Macaca mulatta: one gene and its partners. The protein of the gene in region 1 purifies or fractionates together with the protein of each later gene. This does not show direct contact. Links are inferred from orthologs where the notes say so. Each region holds a gene or a part of one and is shown on either strand. Other genes may lie near its edges. The genes, in order: BRK1, ABI1 and WASF2.

Region 1 (3,611 bases):
CTGGGATAACACGCATGAGCCACCGTGCTGGGCCTTGCGCTAGACTTTGAATGGCAAATATGATTTGAATTGAGGGAAATCAGTGTATACAGAGCATAATGACTTCTGTGTGACTAAAATAGATTCTATATAGTGGATAAGCCTTTAGAAGTTGGTTGGTACAAGTTTATAGTAAGCTTTGGATACCAAAATGAAAAGTTTAAACCATCTGTTTTTCTTTTTTTTTTGAGACGTAGTCTTGCTCTGTCACCAGGCTGGAGTGCAGTGGTGCGATCTCGGCTTATTGCAACCTGCACCTCCCGGTTTCAAGCGATTCTCCTGCCTCAGTCTCCCGAGTAGCTGGGAGTATAGGCGCCCGCCACCACGCCCAGCTAATTTTTTGTATTTTTAGTAGAGACAGGGTTTCACTGTGTTAGCCAGGATGGTCCCGATCTCCTGACCTCATGATCTACCCACCTCGGCCTCCCAAAGTGCTGGTATTACAGGCATGAGCCACCGCACCCGGCTATCTGTTTTTCAAAGAAGTAGACATTTAGCTTCTGCCTTTATAAAACTAATAATCTGCCTTGGATTGTGGCTAAATTGTGTGAATGCTGGTATTTCAACAGACTGTAAGCATCATGTCTGATTCAATGCTGTATCTTTTATTGGAGTTTAACATGCCTACATAGTAAATACTTGGTAAATGTGCTGAATGACCAAATGATTCCCAGGATGAGCTAGTCAGCTCAGAGTCCAAACATGGGGACTTGGGCTGGTAAGCCACCTAGGCTTTGAATCAAACAGCTGCATCTGAAAGTTTTATGTTAGAATAATAATGCCATATATTACATTTCTGTGCAATAAGTAAGTCCACCTCTAGCTCCTCTCCCCACCATAATCACAGCAGTCAGATAAAAAGTTGAGTTTATTAGGGAAATATGGGAGGCATAGACACTCCCAAGTGACAGAAAGAAAAGTCTAAAAATGTCCCTTCAAGCCAAGTGGGGGCCTGGCCTTGACCTCCCCAAATCAACAAGAAACTGGTGGGTCTGCAACAACATTCTCTGGCAGCCACATTGCCAGGGCATGAGTGTCTTGGCCAGGATTGCCCCCCACTTCCCACCAAAGGTGGGGAGGAGATAAAGACTGTTCACAGAAGCAGTGCAAAGGCAATGAGAACTTTAAGGAAAGTTTGAGAGAGAGAGAAAGAAAGATAGAGGCGGGGAGGACCTTCACAAAGAGTCCCAGGGTTTTGGCTGTGAATGTCTCAAATACATTGACAAGTAGATCTATAAAATGTTACTGAAAAGGTAAAATGCCTCATGTCGTTTCCAGCAGTTCCTCTGGACTTCTCCCCACATAACACACCACACCCCAGATGGCAGAGCCCAAAGGCCACACTTTTGAAAAAAGAAAAACAAGAATAAGCCCTGTTGCTCTTTAAGGAGAAAGGAAGGAGCTGAAGGCTGCTGGGGCCTTTCCCATGTGGCCTGTGTTGTGTAAAGCAACTTCCCAGCAGCAGCACGTCACTGTTCTAGGTGAGTGTCTCACCTTTTGTCACCTGTGAAAGGAAAGGAAAATTGACATTTAGATACATTCAAAAAGATTAGAGGGGTCTAAAAAAAAATTCTTTAGATCCTAGGCAGTGAGAAATAGTAGAAAAGAAGATAGCTGTGAAGTCACAGAAACCTGGTTCAAATCCAGGCAATCTGCTGAACTTTTGTTTTCTTTTTTTGAGACGGAGTCTCACTCTGCCACCCAGGCTGGAATGCAGTGGTGCGATCTCGGCTCACTGCAACCTCTGCCTCCCAGTTTCTTTTTTTTTTTTTTTTTTTTTGAGACGGAGTCTCACTCTGTCGCCCAGGCTGGAGTGCAGTGGCCGGATCTCAGCTCACTGCAAGCTCCGCCTCCCAGGTTCACACCATTCTCCTGCCTCAGCCTCCCGAGTAGCTGGGACTACAGGCGCCCGCCACCTCGCCCGGCTAGTTTTTTGTACTTTTTAGTAGAGACGGGGTTTCACCGTGTTAGCCAGGATGGTCTCAATCTCCCGACCTCGTGATCCGCCCGTCTCGGCCTCCCAAAGTGCTGGGATTACAGGCTTGAGCCACCGCGCCCGGCAGCCTCCCAGTTTCAAGTGATTCTCCTGCCTCAGCCTCCTGAGTAGCTGGGACTACAGGTGTGAACCACCATGCCTGGCTAATTTTTGTATTTTTAGTAGAGATGGGGTTTCACCATATTGGCCAGGCTGGTCTTGAACTCCTGACCTCAGGTGATCCGCCACCTCGGCCTCCCAAAATGCTGGGATTACAGGTGTGAGCCACCATGTCTGGCCAGTGCTTAAGCTTCCTAAGACTGTTTCTGCTTTCAGGTTTTTTTCAGTAATAAGTGGAAATGCGCATTCTCTCTTGGAATGCCCTGGCCCATCAAACTCACCCGTGCTTCAATGTACTCTATTCTCCGTTCAAGGGCTGTCAATTTCTCGTTTAGTGTTGCAAGTCTTGAACGACAAGACATATCTAAGAAAAAGAGACTGGTGTTCAGAATTAAGGTCACTTCAAACACAGACACAGACACACACAACTCCTACACTGAAAAAGAGGAATAATACACAGAATACAAATGGAAATGGATACAGTGAGAAGTATCTTAGCACAGTTCCTTAGAGTGGATCTGCTGAATTTCCTATCAAGTATTGCAAGTAGAGAATAACGGCCCCACAAAAATGTCCTTTCCCGCAGGGCGTGGTGGCGCATGCCTGTAATCCTAGTACTTTGGGAGGACTAGACAGGTGGATCACCTGAGGTCAAGAATTCAGGACCAGCCTGGCCAACATCGTGAAACTCTATCTCTTATTAAAAATACAAAAATTAGCCGGGCATGATGGCACATGCCTGTAATCCCAGCTACTCGAGAGGCTGAGGCAGGAGAATCGCTTGAACCGGGGGTCAAATGTTGCGGTGAGCCAAGATCTCGCCACTTCACTTCAGCCTGGGTGAAAGAGCAAAACTAAAAAAAAAAAAAAAAAAAGAAAAAAGTCCTTTCTCTAATCCCTGGATCCTGTGAATATGGATTATACATGAGGAAACAGGGCTTTGCAGGTATGATTAAGGTTAAGAACCTTGAGATCCTAGAGTTTGTCTTGGATTGTCCATTTGGCCCCAATCTAATCATAAGTCCACAAATGTAGGTGAGAAAGGCAGAGGAAGGGGGTCAGAGATGAAATGGAAGAAGAAAAAGAGATTCGATGTGTGAAGGGGATGCAATCTGCCATTGTTGGCTTTGAAAGTGGAAGAAGGGAGTCATGAGCCAAGGGATGTAAGTGACCTTTAGAAGCTGGGAACAACTTTCAGCTGACAGCCAGTAACAAAACAGAGATCTCAGTTCTACAACCACGAGAAACTGAGTTCTGCCAACAACCCAATATTCGAGGAACTAGACCCGCTCCTTGAGCCTCCAGAAAGGAAGGCAGTCCTGCTGAAACCCTGATTGGAGCTCAGGCCAGGAGCAGTGACTCATGCCTGTAATCCTAATACTTCAGAAGGCCAAGGTGTGAAGATTGCTAGCCCAGTTATCCGTGTTCAATTTATGACCTACACATGGTAAATAATAAATTTATGTGGTTTAAGCCA
Region 2 (3,651 bases), on another chromosome or scaffold:
TGGCCCACAAATCCTAAAATATTGACAATCTGGCCCTTTATAGAAAACGTGTGCTGATCCCTGTTCTAATAGAATGAGCTCTTGAAAAAAGAACTATGCCTTATTGGCAAATGCCTAATATCTAATGAAACAACACTTAATAACTGTTTGTTGAATATGATTAAACTATGCTTCCACTATAGAGAAAACCTATACTTTGATCCAATAGTTCAAATAACAACAAAGAGAACAATTTTGTTCCTCAAAGAACTTGACTTGATACAGTATCTGCAGATATCAACTTAACAATTTGTTTACTAACAGTGGCAATAGTAATAAATACCACTTACCTAGCATCTCGCATCTCGATATGCCCTATTTAGTGGAATTCCCATAAATCATTTTGATAAGTTATCTCTCATTTACCAACGTAAGAGTGAAGGCAAAAGAGAGGTTCCCTGCCCACATTATTACGTGAGAGAGAAAACTAAAGAATAAAACAAATTTGGTTATAAAATAAATTTATCTGGTTTTATAAAGCACTCAAAAATTGAAGTGGCTACATTTTGGGGGAAGAAGGTCGAGGCAATAACTGGGAAGGAGCTTGAGAGGCTTCTGGGTTGCTGATAATGTTCCATTTTCTGATCTGGGTGACAGTTATATGAGTGTGTGTCCATCCATCAAGCTGTATACTTAATAAAGTGGATACTTTTCTGAATGTTATACTCTGTAACTAAATTTTAAAAAATCCACCGGGTAATTGATTTTTAGGACATTCAAAAATAATAAATACAAGGCCGGGAGCGGTGGCTCACGCCTGTAATCCCAACACTTTGGGAGGCCGAGGTGGGCAGATCACCTGAGGTCAGGAGTTGGAGACCAGCCCGGGCAACCTGGTGAAACCTCATCTCTACTAAAATACAAAAAGTAGCCGGGCATGGTAGCGTGCCCCTGTAATCCCAGCTTCTCTGGAGGCTGAGGCAGGAGCATTGCTTGAGCCTGGATGGCAGAAGTTGCAGTGAGCCGAGATCGCGTCACTGCACTCCAGCCTGGGTGACAGAGCTAGACTCCATCTCCAAAAAGATAATAATAATAATAATAAAACATATTCTAGTATACTGATTCTCTTGAAAGTCTCCCTCAGATTTAACTTCAATCTTCTTTCCTTCAATCTCTGAAAGTTTAAATCACGTTGTATAATTCCTATGATAGTTAATCTTTTCTCCAAAAGTATTTGAGTGGTTTGCCTTAAATTTTTTTAAAAGAGCATTTTAAAACATTCTTAGGGCCAGGCACGGTGGCTCACACCTGTAATCCCAGCACTCTGAAAGGCCAAAGCGGGTGGATCACCTGAGGTCAGGAGTTCGAAACCAGCCTGACCAATATGCAGAAACCCTGATTCAACTCAAAATTAGCCGGGTGTGGTGGCACAGGCCTGTAATCCCAGCTACTTGGGAGGCTGAGACAGGAGAATCGCTTGAACCTAGGAGGCAGAGGTTGCAGTGAGCCAAGATTGCACCACTGCACTCCAGTCTGGGCAACAAGAGCAAAACTCCGTCACAAAAAAAAGAAAAAAATTCTTTAGTCTTAACCCAAAGAGTCTGATAGAGTCTGTACCTCTATCAAAAGGAGGAAACACAAACAATACATTAATAGTACAAACAGGTGTTTAAAAATCTTAAAAAAAAAAAAAAACAGAAGTTATAACACAAATTTACAGGAACATATATAATATTATTCCCTCAACTTTCACATTTGATATTAGCATTAGAGTGGCACTTCACCTTTACTCAGCACCTCCATAGGAGTTTGTCACCAGTCAGTTACACCCACTTTAGAGATGTTCAAATACTCAACCTAAAGGCTTACCTGTGTGTCCTTGGTCTCTGATTTAAAGATGCTGTCCTGCCTGGACTATGCTGACTTCCAAGCCTAGCGGGACTCGTCATATAGTCATTAGGAACTGTTGGGGGTTTAACAGGTTCCAGGGTTTTATAAGGAGTATTCCGTCTAAAGAAGCATAGTGGAAAAAGGAATAATGAATAAAAAAGATAAAATTGTATTTTTCCCAAAAATATGTGAGTTTCCCTTTGTGACCATGTATGCCAGGATTTAAAAATATATATAACAAAGTTTGTAATTTTAAAAAATATTCTTCACTGGGATATATGAATTTTGTTATTTTAACATGAAAACTAAAATTTGTTTCCTTTTCCTAAGAAAAACATAGGAAAGGGTAATTTAAAGTCCTAACCTGATTTCTAAAAATTATAATTTTTTAAATGCTCAGTAATATCAAACTTTAAAATGTACATCATTCTCAGTCCAGTCACTCATAAGCCACTGTTCTTTAAACAGGAAGCTAAATTTCTTTATATAGGAAGCTGCAACTTATTCCTACCTCAATATGGCAATAAATGGAGACATACATTCTATTCTAATCATTAATTTCTCAATAAATGATTTCGACTTTTCTGTTTAATAACTTCATTTTTTTTTTTCAGGGGCGGAGGGTTTAATTAATAAAAATGAAAACTAAGACCTTCTTAAAAGAAGACTGATTGTTGAACAACCCCTCCACCAAAATATAAGAAATCCAATATAATATTCCCAGTATTAAGAAAAGCAACCTTAAAGAAACGTAATGCCCTAGCAAGTATTCGCTATATTTAGTACACTAAGAATTAAGAAGGAAGAAGCCACTGTTATCTTTTCTACTTGTCCAACTGGCCTTCCCATGGAGCTACTCTAGTATAAAGAGGCCTAAGAACACCAGCAGAAGCATAGTTACAAATAAAGTGCATAGTTTCCTAAAGTAAAGAGTCCCTAAGTCTCAGACACCAATAGGGGAAACAGAAGAGCTGTGGACTCAGCCACACTACACAAAAGTAGACCACTGGTCAAAGTTCTATAATATAGATACTGTAAACACATGCAAAGGCACCATTTGGAATACTCTAATCATTCCATTTAAAACAAGTCAGATTTATATTTTTTAAAAATTAGATGACAAAAAAATAAACAATGCCATTTATACGTATATAAAAACTTTCCTGGTACAGATTTTAGAGAGTATTACAAAGCCAGCAGATTCATTTGGGATTCTGTTCAGGAAAACAAGAATTAAAATGAATTTGTAAAAGGTAGTGTCACATAGAGAAGGTAGTGTGGCATGGATCCCATACACTTACTTAAGTCACAGAAACATCTTTTCCTTTAGCATATGAATTTCTTCTGTAAAATGTAGTTGAATTCTTACCCCAGTGTTCCCCGGCCTGACATGGGAGGACTTGGCGGTTTCTGAGTAGGAGGATTTGTTCTCGACAGAGTGCCAGTTCTTGCAGGCTGGTTATTTCCGTGCTAAAATGTAGAAAGAAATGCTTTTATTTTTATATCAAATTGTTCTCTTTGTGTTTTAACACCATGTATTATTTTTTTTTAATATCAGAATGTGAATTAAGGATTCCCAGACAGTTTGAATAAAGACTTTGGTACTACAGTTTAAAAAGTCAAGGAACCACTTGCACTTGGTTTTCCTATTATTTTATGCCATTCATATCACATTGTAGCAAAATACATGTGAGATCACTGGATTGTTTATCTTATTTTATTGTTAAACATGTTCACTGAGATCAGACTTATGTGCATTCAAACACTGGGTTTCCTACAAAT
Region 3 (3,462 bases), on another chromosome or scaffold:
CTGTCACAGCTGCCTATCCCCCTCCTTCTCTCACTACTTCTGGTCCCCCAAAAGGGCTGGTCCCAAGGCTATGTGGTTGGTTGGTGACAGAAAAGGGGCAACAAAGAATGACAAGAGAGGTTATGAAGGTTTGAGCAGCACTGACAGGGCTGGCACAGACCCTGAGCCCTCCTACTGGGACCCCAACCTATGGTGAGGTCTGGAGTAGCAATACAGCCGAGAAAGCTCTGCCCAGACTCCAGTAGGTGCCCATTCTTTGGTCCCAGAAAGCACAGGTGACTTGGAATCAGGAACTCTGGGCTCTAGCTATGTCACTATCCAATTGTGTGACCTTGAGCAAGTCACTTCCCATCTCTAGGCCTCAGCACCCTTAAAGGGTGGGACCCATGGGGCTCCGCTGTTCTTCCAGTCCTGCAGCTCCAAGTCTTCAGGCTTTGCTCCTGACAGCCAGAAGAGGCCCCTGTTCTCATGTGTCAGGGACAGTTTGGTCATGGACTAGAGGTTAAAACTGGGCTGTGTTGCCTGAAGGCATCTAGAGGTGGTGGTGGTGCATCCTGAACACCATACTCACCAAAGGGATCCTGGGAGGGAGGCAACAACTCCAGCCTACAGAAAGGCATCATTTTTGGGCAGAGGAGGTGAGACATTCTTTAGAGGCTTGATGCCTTCTGGAATAAAGGGCATCCCAGGCATAAGAGATCGTTTAGCACAAGGCAGGCCCACCCTGCTGATTAGGACAAAGGGTGAGGCAGTCTGGCCGTTGGAGCCTTCGGCCTGCTCTGCCCTTTCAGGGCACAGAAAAGGGGCCAGCTGTGTCCATTCAGGCCACTCCCCCTGCTTTAGAACCAGAGAGTGGCTGGCATTATTTGAAGTGGCTGAGGGCACAGGTTTTAGAAGACTGTAGTTGAATATGGCTCCTAAGGGAAGGCCCCATCTCCAACGGAAACCTGATCAAAGGAATCTGCTTTGGGATTTCTCCTTCCCTTCAATATGCAACAGGCACTTGAAGGAAAGAGGGAACATCCCAGCTACTGAACTTCAGGAGCCCCAAAGGGCCTGACAATGGGGAGAGGAAATACATGTTGATTTGGAGGAAGCACTTGGATATATCTTTGGTTGCTTCAGGGAAAGCTTTGGCCCCTTAAAATTACTTTTTTCCTCCCCTTTCTCCCCTACGGATCTGTTGGGGTTGGCATCAAAGAAGGCAGGTAGGAAGGAAAGAAAAAGAAGGTGGACAGCAGGCAGAAAGCGTTAATCCGACCAGTCGTCCTCATCAAATTCAGAGGAATCATCTTCTGAGTCACTGTACTCAACAGCAATGCGACGAGACAAGATGGTGGCCACGTCATTGCCCACGACATCCCGCTTCTCTTGTTCCCGCTGCTCCTCAACCCTGCGCAGCTGAAAACCTGGTGGCAAAGAGACAGAGGGGTGAGGAAGGCGTGTCCTCAGCCTTGGAATCCATCTGGAACTGGGTAAGGGGGAGTGGCCACCAGTGGGTAAGGGGTATTGCAAAGGACAGAGAAAAAGAAGGTTGTTATGGAAAAGCAGAAGATGAGTGTATGAAACTGGTGAGGTGTGTCTGAAAGGCAGCCTGCTGTCCTTTCTGGTTTACACACTTTCAGGCTGGTAAGGACTTCTCATGAGGCTTTGAAGTGGGGAGCAGGCACCACATTCCATCCAGCAGATCCTCAGCCTGCCCAATTCCATCAATTATAATGGGGCTCAGCTGCCATAGACTGTCTTCTCTAGACTAGAAGTTTTTTGAGGATCACAAACAGAACAAACCACGATAACCCCTTGGGACCACACCTGGCCCCTTGATAGAACAAATGCTCAAATGTTCCAGGAGGGTGAAATGATGAAGCGGGAGGGGAGGGGAGGGAAGAGGAGAAAAGAGGAGATAAAAGAAAATGGGAGAAAAAAGGGGTGAGAAAGAGGGCAGGGGGCAAGGAAGGAAGACACAAAAGGCAGAGCAGTGAAGAAGGCTGGGGGTTGCTGAGTCCAGTTGAACAAAGGCCCACTAGGACAGTGATTCTTGTTTTTTTCGAAGGCACAAAACCCTTCAGAGAAACTGATGAAAAATGGGGATCCTTTCCCAAGAAAAAAAATGCATGCAAACACGCATAAGCATACATTTCCAAGGACTTCAAAGATCCCAGCTTAAGAATCCTTTACTGCCGGGCGCGGTGGCTCACGCCTGTAATCCCAGCACTTTGGGAGGCCGAGGCAGGCGGATCATGAAGTCAGGAGATCAAGACCATCCTGGCTAACGCGGTGAAACCCCGTCTCTACTAAAAATACAAAAAATTAGCCGGGCGTGGTGGCGGGCGCCTGTAGTCCCAGCTACTTGGAGGCTGAGGCAGGAGAATGGCGTGAACCTGGGAGGCGGAGCCTGCAGTGCGCCAAGATCGCACCACTGACTGCACTCCGAGTGAGACTCCATCTCAAACAAAAAAAAAAAAAAAAAAAGAAAAGAATCCTTTACTTTTAAACCAAGGTGGAAAGAAATCTAAATCTCCATATTTTCAGGGTGAAGCCTTTTCTCAGGCTGCTCCCAGACCTAATGTCCCAATCTCTCCCCACCCAATGAAAGCTGTTTCCTGGGAAGGGCAAAGGGACCCCTTCACCCACCCCCCAATCAATCATCCCAGCTTCAGAAAGACAAGGCTCCACAGTCCCAAACCCACCACTGAAATTTACCTTGACGGATGGCTGAAAGCAGGTCGCTACGGGCATCACTCACAGCAGGCAAGGAGGACTTGGGCTTGGTGGTATCAGAAAGCGGTGGTGGTACAGCAGGCTGGCCATCTGCACCAGTGAAAGGGGGAGGAGGGGGCCCCGGAGGAGGAGGAGGAGGGGGAGGAGGAGGTGCTCCTCCTGTTGGCTGAGACAAGGGAGGTGGTGGCAGAGTTGGGTAGTCAGTTGCCGGTGGTGGAGGAGGAGGTGGAGGGGCAGCAAAATCAGGGTGAGGTGGGAAAGATGGGGGTGAGGGTGGTGGAGGCGTCCCTGGAGACCCAAATCCTACAGGTGGTGGTGGAGATGGGATGCCTATCATTGGAGGCGGAGGTGGCGGAGGGGCAGGTGGTGGAGCAAACCCAGGTTTAGGACCTGCTGGAGAGCCTAGAGGAGGAGCTGGTGGTGGATGGCTTGGGCTGACCACACTGGATCTTTTGGGTCCAGCCAAACCAGATCCTCTTTGGTTGTCCACTGGGTAACTAAAAGGCCAAAGAAAAAACACTCACCATCACCCTTAGAATGCAAACACCTACCTACAGTTAGCCTTGTCTATAAGCCGAGGTTTATCTTGGTTGACTATACCATTTCACTTTGGCTTAAACAGAAAGAAAAACCTACAGATGGTCAGAACAGACAAATAATGAAATAAGCAGCCTTGTAAGGTAATGAGCTTCCCACCAGTAGAGGAGGATAGCCAGATTGAGTAAAACTACCTGAAAGAAG

Evidence for each region.
Region 2: the proteins of BRK1 (region 1) and ABI1 purify together in Homo sapiens (co-immunoprecipitation; 3 studies listed by BioGRID and IntAct, with this or other methods). This does not show direct contact. The link is inferred for Macaca mulatta from reciprocal best matches to the Homo sapiens genes BRK1 and ABI1.
Region 3: the proteins of BRK1 (region 1) and WASF2 purify together in Homo sapiens (co-immunoprecipitation; 3 studies listed by BioGRID and IntAct, with this or other methods). This does not show direct contact. The link is inferred for Macaca mulatta from reciprocal best matches to the Homo sapiens genes BRK1 and WASF2.

The regions. Positions count from the first base shown.
Region 1 is NC_133407.1:148,970,948-148,974,558, reverse strand, and holds the end of BRK1 (protein BRICK1), read right to left. Parts: intron 2,499-3,611; coding exon 2,416-2,498; intron 1,544-2,415; coding exon 1,517-1,543; 3' UTR 626-1,516; downstream 1-625. UniProt on the Homo sapiens protein: Involved in regulation of actin and microtubule organization. Part of a WAVE complex that activates the Arp2/3 complex. As component of the WAVE1 complex, required for BDNF-NTRK2 endocytic trafficking and signaling from early endosomes.
Region 2 is NC_133414.1:28,134,107-28,137,757, forward strand, and holds part of ABI1 (abl interactor 1), read right to left. Parts: intron 3,340-3,651; coding exon 3,239-3,339; intron 1,990-3,238; coding exon 1,849-1,989; intron 1-1,848. UniProt on the Homo sapiens protein: May act in negative regulation of cell growth and transformation by interacting with nonreceptor tyrosine kinases ABL1 and/or ABL2. May play a role in regulation of EGF-induced Erk pathway activation. Involved in cytoskeletal reorganization and EGFR signaling.
Region 3 is NC_133406.1:213,548,486-213,551,947, reverse strand, and holds part of WASF2 (actin-binding protein WASF2), read right to left. Parts: intron 3,219-3,462; coding exon 2,704-3,218; exon of another isoform or gene 2,454-2,703; intron 1,410-2,453; coding exon 1,252-1,409; 3' UTR 1-1,251. UniProt on the Homo sapiens protein: Downstream effector molecule involved in the transmission of signals from tyrosine kinase receptors and small GTPases to the actin cytoskeleton. Promotes formation of actin filaments. Part of the WAVE complex that regulates lamellipodia formation.